Linked DNA regions of Oreochromis niloticus. The main gene of each other region encodes a partner of the protein of the gene in region 2 in a complex. Links are inferred from orthologs where the notes say so. Each region holds a gene or a part of one and is shown on either strand. Other genes may lie near its edges.

Region 1 (7,162 bases), on a different chromosome or scaffold from region 2:
GTGTCTGCCTGCTAGCTTCACCTTTACACCAGCGTTCCACTCCTGAGCGAACTTCTTGTCAGGAAAGCTGTCCGGCAGGCTGAGTTGCGTCCAAACCCGTTCCAGGTACTGGGTGAAGTTGAGGCTGCTCAGCAGGTGGATCTGACGGTGGGAAAACCGCGACTTCACCCGCTTCTCCAGCAGCTCCAGAACATCCTGAATGGAAAAAGAATCACAACACGTATTAAAAACACCTACCATTATCTAAGTAGCGTTTCTGAGAGGTATTCTGAGGCCCACCAGTCTGCAGGTGACGCCAACCACGGCGATGGGAGCCTGGGCGGACTGTGAGACGTCAAACAGGTTGTAGAGCAGAGTCTGGTTCTTGTGGTGGGCGAATAAGTCGAACTCATCCAGGACAAACAACACTGGGCAGCTACTGCTGCGATTGCCTTTTAGGATTAAAAAACAAAACAAGAACAAAAAAAAACATCAAACCTGCCCCTCTAGTCTGAAATCAGCTTTAAATATTTGAATTTTCTCACCTTTTTTTAATGCCTCCAGGAGGAAAGCCAGATTTTCAGCAAAGCTTCCCTAAGGAAAAAAAAAAAAAAAAAAAAAAGGTAGAAAGATTTTTGTAGGAGTTTTCAGAGCTGAAAATGTTAATAACAGTCTCTCTTAATACTCACAAACACTTTGTCTCCAACAACGTTTTCCAGGTGGAGCTGTCTGGTTATTTCTTTCAGCGCTATTCTGTCATCAGTCTGCAGGAGACCTGCAGCAAACACACAAACCCATCCATCCAATTCAGATTTCCAGCAAACGTGTGGGTTCTTAAATTGTGAGGAATTTAAATGAGGTTTGGCACCATTGAGGTGAACCTGAAGAAGGTTCTTCTGCACCTTCTCCTCTTTCTGCAGGTCTCTCAGCACGCACTGCAGCAGCTTCAGGCACAAAAACACAAACCTCACAGGATTCACAACAAGTCCATACTTTTAAAAAATTATTTAAATTTAAAAAACACAAATTCATTTTTTCCACGGCTCACCGTCGTTTTCCCTGCTCCTCTGGGACCCACGATTAGCACAGAATTACTCTCCCCGTGGATCGCCGTCCGCCTCAGCAGCTCCAGGAGGTGTCTGCAAACACAATGGCTTTAACTACAATACCCACAATGCTTAGTAAAATTTACACCCCCATCTCCTGCTTCTAATGAGTGGAAATCTCTCACTGGGGAAGCTCGTGTTGTGGCCGAGTCGGCCAGGAAACTGGGACAGAGCTGTCACCCAGGTGCGACTGAACTGGGTCACTGAAACTCACACCGAGCTCCAGGTCTGCTCTTAATTATAGATGACAGTTCTACTACAGGCCTTCTAAACCATCCAACACCTGTAGGAACTGAAGCCGAAACAAAAACAAACACCCTTCACAGCTTATTTGCCTTTCCCAAACACTTAGGACAAATTATTCATGGTTTTATTTTCACAAGGCCAGATTACAACAGATTCCTCCTCTCCTGTATAAACAGTAAGGTTGGAATGGCCTCGAACTTTTAACCTTTTACTGATCACTAGTAAAGGTACCTTTCATAATTACACCCTACATACTGTTACTATACGTTTCACCACAGTGGGCAGTGTTTTACCAGTCAGTGTGTTTTCACATTTTTAAGCCTCTTTCCAGACCTCCACTTTAAACAAGAATGTGTTTTCAAAGGACAACCATAACGAAGTCACAATGCGCACACACACACACACAGACACAAACACACAGCTTTGACAGCGCCAGAAACGCCCCGAGGATTAAAACAGGCCGATCCGGTTGAAGCTATGAGGCAGGAACCTGTGCCAGTCATTTCTCCAGTTTCTTTTCTCGCACTGATTGTCTTGTTTCTTATTTTAATATCCAACTTTGTTTGAATTTAACGTTCTGATTTTCTCCGTGATTTTCTTGTTGACATTATTATAAAATCACCTCTATCCACAGGCCCTGCTGTTATGAACTTACTTGTACTGAGCTTCTACTCCCTCTAGTCTGTCAGGGAGCCGCCTCTCACAAAATCGCTCCCTTAAAATCTGCTGAACCTGCACAGAAACATGTATTATAAATAAACTACATTTTATTAGGTATATTTCAGAGTATGACACTGAAAAACTCACTGGCTGTTCATACACACACCTGTTTGATGCATTCCCCTACAGGCAGATGAGCATCTCTGGCCTTCCTCTTACTCATGATGATGTGACTGTCAACTGCAAAATGTGAAAAAGTGGGAAAACAGGTCAACTTCAACATGCCACTAAATTCATTTATCAGGGGGATAATACTGACACTTTACATTGCCGTTAGGTGTCAATTAAATGCACCAACATGGTGGAAACAACGGTTTTAATTCCAATAAATAACACCTTTTTTTTTTTTAGTTTAAGCCAAATGTAAGACTAATAATCACCAAAACGAAATCACATCGCTTCAGGACATGTTTACAGTTGTGCTGTAACCAATGTTAGGGTCGATAACAGGTGAAGATAAAACAATTTAATTCGGTATACAGCTGATGCAACAATAACACTCTATCTCATAGCTGCCTTTGACTGCTTAACTTACAATTTGGTCAAAAAATGAATGTCTAAATAGATTTTATGTATGCCGAATTAGAAAGCGACTCATAAGTGTGAGAATCCGTCTCGGGCTGCATTCAAGGCTGAGATCATATCCGCCGACAAGTCAGGAGAACACAAAATTGGCATTTTTACAACAGAACCTCGGTGCTACACGCTTGCGACGCAACCCAGGGCTTTACTCGAAGATCTGCTCGCTAAAAGCGTGCTGAAGAAGCACGAATGTTTTCCATTTCTAACTTTGATTACTTCTACCGTTGTGTAAGACAGGTGTCAGCTAGTCGAGCTTCTTTTCACACACACATCAGAACAAACATACCGGGAGCAACGATGAGACGCCTCAATCTTCGCGGGAATACTCCTCTGCCAGCGATGACGACTTCCGGCTTTGACTATATCTGCTCTCTGATTGGCTGTGACTCAGAGCAGCGCTGTGGTTGTGGAATTATATTATTCACACACATACGCACAAATAAAATAATAACAAATAAAAAATGATTTAAAAGAAAAACATGACATATGATAATGTGCAAAAGTCAACAATTGTGTTTTTTTATATTTTGTTACCAAGTAGACAGACTTTGTTCTATTGTTTTCAAAGTGGTCTTGAGCAGTAGTTCTTGAGGCTTCCTGAATGTCTTTGAACGTTTTTCTTTGGATATCGGCTGCTTTTTCACTTATTTTCTGCTCAGTCCTTGTCCCTGGCCAATCTTTTGCTGGTTAAACCACTATGAATCATTGAAGCGTAAAAAAGACAACCACAACCACAAAAACACATCATTTGTTCTAATGTCTTTAGTTGGATCTATGAAAAATGTCAAAGATTACACAGTTTGACAGACATTAAACAGTATTTTTTGTACTAACAAACGTGATTCCTAAAAGCTATTAGCTGAAAACTTGGCATAGCACAACATGGTGTGCAGTCTGCCCTCAAAAAAATCTGAGGAAGCTGGAGAAGTGGAGGGCTAAAGAGCTGTCAGCCTTCAAAAACCATCTACATCAGATGAACAGTATCTGAAAATCATGTCCTTAAAAAACATGAAAGAATCCAGTAAAGAGCTGACACAGAACCATCTACTGTTCACTGAAGCCTCATCAGAAATGGGCTCAAGTAGAGATTTAGATTTGAAGCTATGTAAGCACAAAGCTATTCAAATATGTCAATACTATTAACATAAATCCACAACAATTTAAGTCACGTTGTGATTTAATAAAAGTATTAGCAGTAAAGAAGACATTGCACAGAGGTTATATTTGAATTTGAATATTTGAATAACCCATTCAGGTGTGTACAGACTTTTGAACTTGTTTAAAAAATATATAAATTAAAATGACAAAATATTATTTTATTTTCAATTTCAATTTCAAATACAATATTTTTAATTTGTTATTATAACAAATGACACATCCTTGTCTTGAGGGCAAAAGTTAAAAACAATGTGTCTTTTTATGCTTTTTATGAATTTTACATGAATAGGATTTTATTTGTTGAATTTTATATACATTTTATTCTTGAATTTGATCCTGCGCATTTCCGTTCTACAGCATTTACTGGCTATGAAATGAAAACAATATGATATTATATATAATATATTATTCACAATTCAAGTTTTGTAGATTACATTTTATGTTATTTTTGTGAAATTAAAATAACAGGATGCTCTTAAGAGATTTTACATCTGCATAAATGCTAAAAACAAGTCATTTTGGCCAGTTGCTATAGGTGGTTGCTAGGCAACATGATGGCATCATAACATTTGACATAGATAAGAACCTTCAGGTGCCTAAGACATACTTGTGTGCCAAGTTTGGTTGCGCTGCTTGTGATCATGTAGGAGGAGTTGGTAGACAAAGAAATGAACACACAGATTTTCTGTGTTATAGTAAGATATATAAGAAATAGTCTGTCGGCACTGAGAAAGACTACAATTATGTGTAATTATATATACGTTTATTTGTGAAACTATAACAGCCACTTCTGCTCTGGTTTGATAAAATTAGGAGGGATGGCTCATGTGAATGGCTAAAAGGCCGCCTGCATAACAGCATCTTTTACTCACTGAAGCTCTGGAGACACTTAAACGCTTCCTGCGGCTTTTTGGTTGACTGATGAAAAGGAAAAAAAAAAGACACAGCAAACCGCCAGATATCTCGCAAATCGTCTCCCGCTCTCCGCTCACATTTAGCCTGTCACATTATTCTAAAATACGACCCTCCGCTCGCACATTCAGCCCTCTGTGTTTGCCCTTAAAAATACATGAAGCGCTCCTTCCTTCAGCAGCCCTACGCTGAATTCATTTAACGTCTCCTCGGGTTTGACCTTCACACAAAATTCAGGCGTTTGCACCCTGAGCTGCATCTCGTCCTCGCTTCAGACGGCTGAGCTCATGTTTTCTTCAGCTTTTATGACCTTTATTTATCTCAGGAAATTATTTTGCTGAGTGTCTGTTTTTGCTCCACTGCAACTTTGTGTTGTATTTTTGTAGTTTTTGTGCGCGCAGCCAGTCAAAATTAACCTTAATGAGTGTCATCTTGTTCATAAATATGAATAGTTTAGTTTCTGCTAAAAGATGTTCTTGTAATTAATCATTATCATTGCAGTTTGTAGCTTATGGTGTTAAACGCTTATCAAATTACACTTCATATACAGTATTTAACAAAGTACCTGTAAGGTACTAGCAAAATAACTGGTAATGGGATTGTTTTTAATTAGATGGTGACTTTTTTTCTAACCCTGTGAGTCCACATATTCTGAGTTTCAGTATGTAGCCATTGGCTTCTGATCATTTTAGTACATTGTGCTTAATATGTAAAGACCACCTTTTATTTTTGACAAAGTAAGACATGGTAATGATAACGTTACAAAAGTTAAAACTTCTGTAAGGGGTCTTTATGTAAGCTTACCTTCTGCAACAATGACCCTTCCCCCTACCCCCAAAAAAGGAAAAGGAAAAAAAAAAGTTGTACTAAATTAATTTCCTGTCACTTTTTCTACCTTTTAGAATTAATCAAAGTCATTATTCGGCATTAACTCAAACTATTTTGCAGATCAAGTCAGCAGAACTTAAAGATCACTGTGTTCATTTCTACTGTTTCTGATGTGAGCCAGTCATGTCCTCCTGTGAACCAGCCTATTCATTTATGTCCTCTGTAATGGACATTTGTTTTTGGTTTATATCTTTTGAGTGATTTGAGATTCTTAAAGTCCTGATGTACTAAATAAAGGACATCCTAGGCTTTCCACTGATATCTCATGTGTTTGAGTGGCCTCTTTTAGCTCCAAAGAGGAAAGGACTCACACATATCCTTTTGCCTTGTCTTGATTCTGCCTTGCACAGATTCAAAAAGGTGATGGAATTGTTCCTCTGAGATTTTGGTCCATGATGACATGACAGTATCACACATTTGCTGCAGATTTGTTGGCTGCACATCCATGACATGAATCTGCTGTTCCACCACATCCCAAAGGGGCTCTACTGGATTGAGATCCGGTGACTGTGGAGGCCATCTGAGTACAGTGAACTCAGTGAACTCATTGTCATGTTCAAGAAACCAGGTTGTGATGATCTGAGCTTTGTGACATGGTGTGTTATTATGCTGAAAGCAGCCATCAGAAGATGGTACACTGTGATCATAAAGGGATGGACATGCTCAGCAACAACGCTCAGGTAGGCTGTAGAGTTTCAATGATGCTCAGGTGGTACTAAGGACCAAAAGAGTGCCAAGAAAATATTCCCCACACCGTTACACATCCAACACCAGCCTGAACTGTTGATACAAGGCAGGATGGAGCCATGCTTCATGTTGTTTACACCAAATTCTGGCTTGATCCTGAATTGTATTAGTGTAAGAAAGTGGATGGATGTAATCAAAGTATACAGAAGAGCATCTCTGAACAGGCAACATACTGAATGTTGATGGAGATGGTCTACAGCAGCAGAAGATCATAGCAGGTGACACTGCTAAGAACAGGAAACTGAGGTTACAGCTCATCAGAAATGACCACAGCCTACCCATCTTCCGTCAAAGACAAAGTGCAGCCTGTCGGTCCTCGCCTAAACTCAGTTAATTAGACTTAACCAACTAACCTAACCCCATACCTGTTTTTGGACTTTGAAGAAAGGAGTTTGCATCTAGTCCAGTGGATGAATCCAACCTAGGAGCCTCTTGTGAGGTGACAGTGCTGATGACTGCACTGCCATGGCAGCCTTCCTTGGTTATAACAAGTGTCTTGTCGTGCTTGTTATATTGATTATTGTTTGAAATTGTCTAGTTTTAGTTGAATTTTTAGTAGTTTCAGTTTTGCTTTGCAAAGTCAGCTGACTTGACATCTTGATACCCAATAAACATCTCCATGAAAGCCTCGTTGGGGTGTTTGTGTTGTGAATGCGTCCAAACTGACAGAAAGAGTGAAAACTGTATATGAAATTTATATAACTAATTGTTAAGGTTTGTTTTAGTACTTAATATAATCATGCCACAGTCATACAGTGTTATTACTAACAAGTTGCCTCTAAGTCATTTTTCTGCAAGTAAATTCAACATTATTTATTTGTAAT
Region 2 (6,921 bases):
CGACAGGGTTGAGAATTCACTATGAAAAAGTCCATCGATTGTCAAAGGCAGAAATGCAGAAGCTTAGAATTAGTGCTAGAAATAGACGTGCATTTAGACTTAACAAAGCTGATGCAGTTATTAAACGTCCAAACACCGATGTCAGTAGCAGCCAGATAGCAAAGTCTGCACCTGTAACTCCTGCTATAAAACAGGAACCACTTGATGTTGCAATTGCACCTCAACCAGACGCTGCCAACAATCTAGACGTTCCTCAGATCACTCCAGAAGACGTGTCAAAGCAAAGCGTGACCTCTGAGGTATTGACTGTTACACGACTACCATCACCTCAAAACTACTTGACTGACAGGCCGTTTGAGGAAGTGGCACAACCTGCTCCTGAAAAAGCTCCAGAGGAACCTAAAGTGGCTGTTATTAACAACAGTCCAGAAATGACACTGAAATCCAGTTTGAAAGAGAAACTCAGTCCCGTTGGCAAAGCAAAAGTGCCGCAAGGAAAATTAGCCGTGAGCCCGAGCAAAGTGAAACAGCTAAAGTCTCCGCCTTCATCTCCTTCATCGTCTCCTGAAAAACCCAGCAGCTCCAAAAGCACACCAACAAAGGAGGAGAAAAAGGAGAAACTTCAGAAGAGGTTAAGCCTCAAAATGTTTGACGCAGACAATGCCTACAGTCCGTACAGACCTTATCGCTGTGTTCATGAGGGATGCACTGCAGCATTCACCATCCAGCACAATTTGATACTCCATTACAAGGCCATGCATCAGGCATCCCTGCCCCCTAACAAAACTGAAGGTGAAACTGAAGCTGAAAAGACCAGCGTTAATACCGGACAGGAGAGCGATCAGACCATAGAAAAAGATAATGAAGTCAGGTGTCAAGTGAAAAATTGCTCAAGGGTGTTCATGGGAATCACACGGCTGGTGCAACATTACCTCTTACTACACAAGTTCACCCGTGACAAAGCCACCGCCATGATGGCCAGTATGAGCATAGGAACTTTTAACTGTGACCGGCCAGAGTGTGCTCTCCCCTTCAGCTCTGTGGAAAAATACATTGAGCACATTAAGAATTACCACAAGGAAATCGCCATTTCTGAGAGCGGCTCCGTTGATCCAACTTTCCGGTGCGAGTACGATGGATGTGACCGAGTGTACACTACAAAGTCAAACCTGCTCCGTCACCTCATCAAAAAGCACGACTATATTTATGACCCCAAAATAAGTGATGGAAGAAGGACTAAATCGGTAGGGCTCTTCCCAGGGGTTAACAATGGCAAAGAGAACGTAGAAAGCAAATTCAGAGTGAAAAAGAAAAACACTAAAAAGAAAGATGGAAAGTCCATTGAACACTGGACTAGTTTTGGAAAGCCTACACTAAAATCTCACGAAGAAGCATCGGCCATGTGCACCAAGAAGTCCTCGCTGCAGTACCCATGCATGATCATAGGTTGCGATGCAGTGGAGTCTGCTGAAAGAAATATATTTAAGCATTACACCACACATGGCCTCACAGAGAGATACATTGAAGATCAGAGGAGCCAGTTCATTTTCTGCAAAAAATACTCACGCGCCAGATGCAAAGATGCAAACAAAGCAGAGGGCACGTCAGCTTCATCTTCTGAGGACATGGAGCCAGAAGAAGTTGAAAAGCCCAGTGACCAGAAAATTGATGAATCGGTAGAAAAAATAGTCCAAGAGGACAGCAAGCTGTCCAACGACGATAGTGCAGAATCTCAAGCTTCCACTGGGACAGAAGGAGGAATTAAAAGAGGCCGTCCCAGAAAACCTGCACATCCCACACCAGCTTGTCCGGAGAGGATACAAACCCTTAGGAACCGCACGACTGTTAACAGTTCAAGAGAGAACTCAAATCCTGGTACCCCTGCAGCCCAAGAACAACGTGATGACGGGGTTATGTCAGCGTCTTTCAAGCCGTTAGGACTTGAGGACTCCTTTCTTAAGTTCTTGGAAACCTCAGAGTCGACCAACTCTTCCAAACGCAAATTAAATGATAAATCTAGTGCTGAACTGCCTTCCAAAAGACAACACACTAACAAACAGAAATCTGCAACCAAAAGTAAAGCAGCTGATGAATTGAAAGGTTGTGAGAGTCTTGTAGACTTCAGAAACCCCCTCAATCTCCAATCAGTGAGTAATGTTAAGATAGTCATGGATAAAACATTATCAGATGGCGCTGATCTTTTGCTAAAGCAGCTACAAGACATGCGGCCCATAGTCATAATAAAAAAGTGGATTTATAGCGGATCATAACCCGATATTTTTTGTTTTCAGCTCAGTCTTACTCAGGATTTGAGAAGTTATGCTGCAGAATGGTTTGTTAATGCATCAAATTTCCAACTGTTAACAGTCATGGTCACACTTAATGAAAAAAAAAGGCCTATTTTGTACCTAATGAAATAACGTCTCGGATGATTTTAAGTATGTATGTTAGTTATAATAACCAGGTAATCTATAGGGCATAGATTTTAGAAACATGTTTGTATTTATGCTTAGTACTGAAGATGTTTTTTTTTCTTTTGCTAAATGGAGACTTTTAAAGAAAACTATGTTTTTATATATCCCTATGGGATTTCAAGTTCTGTTTGTATTTATTTCATCCTTTTACAACACTAGTAGACCTATCTGTAATATTTACATGTCTTCCACAAAGTGTTCAATAAAATGTTACTGGTTCTTTTTATAACATACTGACTGCACACTTTCTATTGTTCTAACTTATATAGTTTACAGTAGCTTTGTTTACGCACAATGCCGCTGTGAAATTATGCACATGATTCGGTTTTAAATGATATAATATATGGAAACTTGGAATATGGTGGGAAAAGGTTGTTGTGAGTAACTGAATAGATGTGGAAACTTTTCATATTTGTGGACACAAAGCTTCCCAAAGGAGCCTGGAAAATGTACAGTTTTTGAAACTTTTTCCATAAAGGGAATGCCAGCAATCTACACAACTAAAGTTGTAGACCTAATGTCAGTTTAAAACACCTTAAATTGGGCATACTGACATGAAAAATGTCAATAGTATAAATAAATCAGTGCATTAAAACATACTTGCATATTAAAACATATTATGGAAGCTTGTTTCTTTCTCTCAAATTTTCCCCCATTCAAACTTCACAATTTCAACTTGCTCAGAAACTAAATTTTGAAACGATATGATGAAAATTGACGTAGCTCTGCTTGCTTTTCTTCTTCTTTTTTTGCAGAAATAAGCCTCCATAGTTCATGGAAAAGTACATTTTAACATAAAAAAAATAATATATTGAGCTTATTTCTATAATTAAACATACTGTTCATTCAGGGGGCTTGTGCATGCATTTTTGGCTTGTTTTTACATATTTTTTCTTAAGGTTATCTAAAACTTTAATTTATTGCGACATATTTCCTCCACACAATGCACAATGGGAATTAACTCAGCTAAAAAAAACTATATATATATATATGAAGAAGTAGGTATGCACTGATTTGAGACTTAAATGGCTGTAATAGAGCTTTATGATTGTTATTGCGTCATTATTTTAAGAGTTGCCAGCTGTAACGCAAAATGGACCTGAAGGACAGTAACGGGACACCGGAGATGCTTTGGGGGAACGTTCAAGATCAGCAATGTTAGAAAGCGTTAACAGCAGTGATCTAACGGGAAAAAAGCTTTCGTTCCTTCTTTTAAATTATTTATCTGGTGTAATTTAATGTTAGTTTTGAAAAGTGGGTTGTGGTTGCATAACTTAAAACAACTTGACAAAAGTATGAACTCACGCTTGAAGCTGTTTATCAGCTGAACACAACCCTTTCCGTATACGTCACTTTGGCGGGAAGTAGATACCCAGCAAGGCTACAGGCATCCGTCATTTTAAATGCACATAGGACCTCCAGCTCAGGGTACAGGCCGGGCTATTCACTGCGGACCCGTGTAGCGAAAGATGGCTACTTCATCCGTGTCAAAGGTAAAGTCTTATATATGTTGTGCTTCATGCATGTTTGATTAAAACTTATTAATTTACTGGCAGTCGTCATACAATGTTAAATGAGACTATTTGTCAACGTTTTTAGGGCTGCTTTGTTTTCAAGCCCAGCGCTAAGAAAAAGAAGAAGACTCTCAGTCTGGGTGAGATACGCGAGTGTTTATACAAGATTTGTCTTCCCGAGCTGTCGGGTGGATTTAGTGGTATTAAGTTGCTGATGTCATGTTTTTTCGCCACAGAGAGTTACTTCGTTCAGGGATGCGAGGATGCTGAGAGCAGTGAAATACGATTCAGGTTATGTCAGGAACTGTGGGACGAAATCAAAACAGACACAGAGGTGAGGACAGATGTTCAGCAGGAAGGCCAGAAAGTAGACTTTTCTGTCCCAAGAAGAAAATATGTGCTCAAAGTAAAGTTAATAAAACTGAGAAAACAGTTAACTGCCTCTAGTTTTTATTGTATACATGCATATTTATGCACGACTCTTCATACTACACATGGCTTTAATGTTGTATATGCAAGCGTGCTTTTATAGTGTTGTAAAATTGAATATATAGTGACAAAAGCAGGAGATGCCTCTGGAGTACTCTATTAATATGATTTTTTTTTTTTAAAAAAGTCGTTAATTTAGTCATGGTTTGATTTTTACTGAGCAGACCGTTTTTGTATCTTCTACATACAAATACATTATACATTCATATGTACTTTTTTGCTTCTTAGGTTTTACAAGATGAACTCAACAGGACAATCTTGGACAGTTTGCTGGACTTCACGAGGAAATGCTCCTCTACACGTCAAAACAGTGACTGGACATCACAGATGAGGGCCAGTGAAATCCCCACAGCAGCTCTAATGCTCGGTATGTTGGTTATGAGGCAGTAATATCTGATGTTTGAGTTAAAAAACATGTATGACTCTCACAACTACATATGATGTAGTATTAGTAGATTTTTAGTAGAAACGAGGCATTTACATTACATGCTGTCATCTCTACCTAATCTGAACTTCCTTTAATGTCCACTCTAGGTGTGAACGTCCCAGATCACGACATGACCTTTCAGAGTCTGTCTGACATGCTAAAGCAGTCTGTCAGCCCTCACGTGGCCTCTGTGCAGGCCAAAGAGTGTGGAGGTAAGGGGTTTCGAGATCAGTCAGAAATCATTTTGTGCTCCCCTCATAGGCTTTGCTTTAAATGGTATGTGTTTGGTTTATGATTTCAGCACTGAAGCATTTGATGAAGAAGGTGCTCGAACGGTTGATGGATACAGTTGTGGTTGTGGATGATGAAGATGAGGAGGAGAATGTGGAGACGAGCCCTCGGGTCCATAGGAGCATGCACTGCTCTCTCGGGATACTTTGTGATTGGTACACTGCAAGAACAAAGGTGGGAGCACAAACCACTGCTGGCGTGCATACAGAGACTTGGATTGTAAGTGATATGTATCATATATGATTTTATTTTTTTCAGAAATCTCCCACTGGTACTCCAGGGAAAAAACGTAGCTCTCAAGTCAGAGATGAGCAGCAGCAGCCTCCTGTTGTAATCATTTTCAAAGATTTGGAGGCTTTTAACCCAAGAGTTCTTCAGGACTTCATCCTCATCTGCAGGTAAATGAAGACTCTTGAGTTGAATCGCTTTCTTATTTTTAGGGCTGCAGATAATACACAAATCATTGATAATGCATTTTGGATTTGCAAGCTGGGCAAGTCTCTGCTAAACAAACTCTGCTCCACAGTCAGTACATTGACCGCCTACCGCTGACCTTCATCTTTGGGATCGCTACATCACCCAGTACCATCCAGCACATGCTTCCCCACTCCGTGTCCTCCCTGCTGTGCATCGAGCTTTTCCAGTCACTGTCATGCACACAACACCTGGCTACAGTCATTGACAAGGTAAGTTCAACCTGACCAAAGAATAAAAAAACATAAAAACACTGATCTGTGCAATCCTCCAGACGGGAAAACCTTCCTGATATCTATGAGTCCATGTGTACAGTTAGCTTTCCAATCTGAAGACTGTTGCATACTTAAGCATATCCAACATCTTCTTTTTAAAAGCGGTTTCCTGAGTGTAAGTTGCATTTTAAACCTCCTGACAACACCAGGTTACAGACGAGCAGCCTCTGGTTAAAGAGGCACGTTTTCAGGAATTAGATGGTACATTTATTATGAAGTGTCCTACATTTATAACAATAGTTTCTGTTTTCCATTTCAGTGCCTCAAAAAGGATACATTTCTTTTTGAGCCATAGCGGTCACACTAACCCTAACTGTAGACGATCAGTGGCCTGGAGGATGTAAAGAAATTAAATAAAAGTAGTTAAATTTTCTTTCTTTTATTATTTCAGTTGATCCTGGCATCACGCATTCACTTTAAACTCAACGGGAAAGTGATGCAGGTCCTCATTGGTGTCTTCCTCTACCATGATTTCTCAGTGAGAAACTTCATTAAGGGACTGCAGGTATGGAGCATCCTCTAACAGTCTCCGCAAGTCTGTCATCCCCCTGCTTTCTTGCCTGAAGTGTAATTCAAATACAGAAATATGTGAGTTTAAAGTTTCTGTTTGGTCCTTGTGCAGCTGGCTCTGCTCGAGCACTTTCACTCTCAGCCTCTCAGTGTTCTGTGTTGCAAGAAAAAGCAGGCTCTGTTCAACGTCACACAGCTCAGCAAACCCAACTTGGACAGGATAAGACAGCTGCCGTCGTTCAAAAGGTACTCAAACTTGTTTCTTTCTCCAATCATCCACGTGTGTGAGTCTAAAGTGCAAATGCAGCACTTATTTAGCTGCAAAAAGTGATAGTAGGTGTCTTAGCATGTTTTTAATTTGTGTATTTGTGTTGACCTTTTTTCAAATGTGAAAGTAAGACTTTGAATTGTTCTAATGTGTGTGTTTCGCTAGGTATGTAGAGAAGCAGGAAGCACAGGAACAGGTC

What was found. Proteins that work in one complex are often made in the same cells at the same time.
Region 1: the proteins of orc3 (region 2) and orc4 are in contact, whole or in part, in a cryo-EM structure (PDB 7JPO), measured with the Homo sapiens proteins. The link is inferred for Oreochromis niloticus from reciprocal best matches to the Homo sapiens genes ORC3 and ORC4. Residues at the interface, in NP_036513.2 of Homo sapiens: Thr227, His260, Arg261, Leu262, Leu263, Pro264, His265, Ala266, Ser269; in NP_001177808.1 of Homo sapiens: Pro370, Lys374, Glu377, Gln381, Ser392, Gly393, Asn394, Ser395, Gln396, Arg397.

The regions. Positions count from the first base shown.
Region 1 is NC_031986.2:18,203,823-18,210,984, reverse strand, and holds the start of orc4 (origin recognition complex subunit 4), read right to left. Parts: upstream 3,043-7,162; 5' UTR 2,920-3,042; exon of another isoform or gene 2,850-2,919; intron 2,844-2,849; exon of another isoform or gene 2,587-2,843; intron 2,232-2,586; 5' UTR 2,215-2,231; coding exon 2,158-2,214; intron 2,064-2,157; coding exon 1,987-2,063; intron 1,119-1,986; coding exon 1,028-1,118; intron 924-1,027; coding exon 848-923; intron 755-847; coding exon 669-754; intron 574-668; coding exon 525-573; intron 432-524; coding exon 280-431; intron 196-279; coding exon 22-195; intron 1-21. UniProt on the Homo sapiens protein: Component of the origin recognition complex (ORC) that binds origins of replication. DNA-binding is ATP-dependent. The specific DNA sequences that define origins of replication have not been identified yet.
Region 2 is NC_031983.2:13,549,301-13,556,221, forward strand, and holds the start of orc3 (origin recognition complex subunit 3), read left to right. Parts: upstream 1-3,813; 5' UTR 3,814-3,943; coding exon 3,944-3,967; intron 3,968-4,073; coding exon 4,074-4,128; intron 4,129-4,224; coding exon 4,225-4,322; intron 4,323-4,705; coding exon 4,706-4,844; intron 4,845-5,011; coding exon 5,012-5,116; intron 5,117-5,205; coding exon 5,206-5,369; intron 5,370-5,453; coding exon 5,454-5,593; intron 5,594-5,721; coding exon 5,722-5,881; intron 5,882-6,335; coding exon 6,336-6,449; intron 6,450-6,566; coding exon 6,567-6,700; intron 6,701-6,887; coding exon 6,888-6,921. Other genes in the region: znf292a (zinc finger protein 292a), read left to right, coding at 1-2,270. UniProt on the Homo sapiens protein: Component of the origin recognition complex (ORC) that binds origins of replication. DNA-binding is ATP-dependent. The specific DNA sequences that define origins of replication have not been identified yet.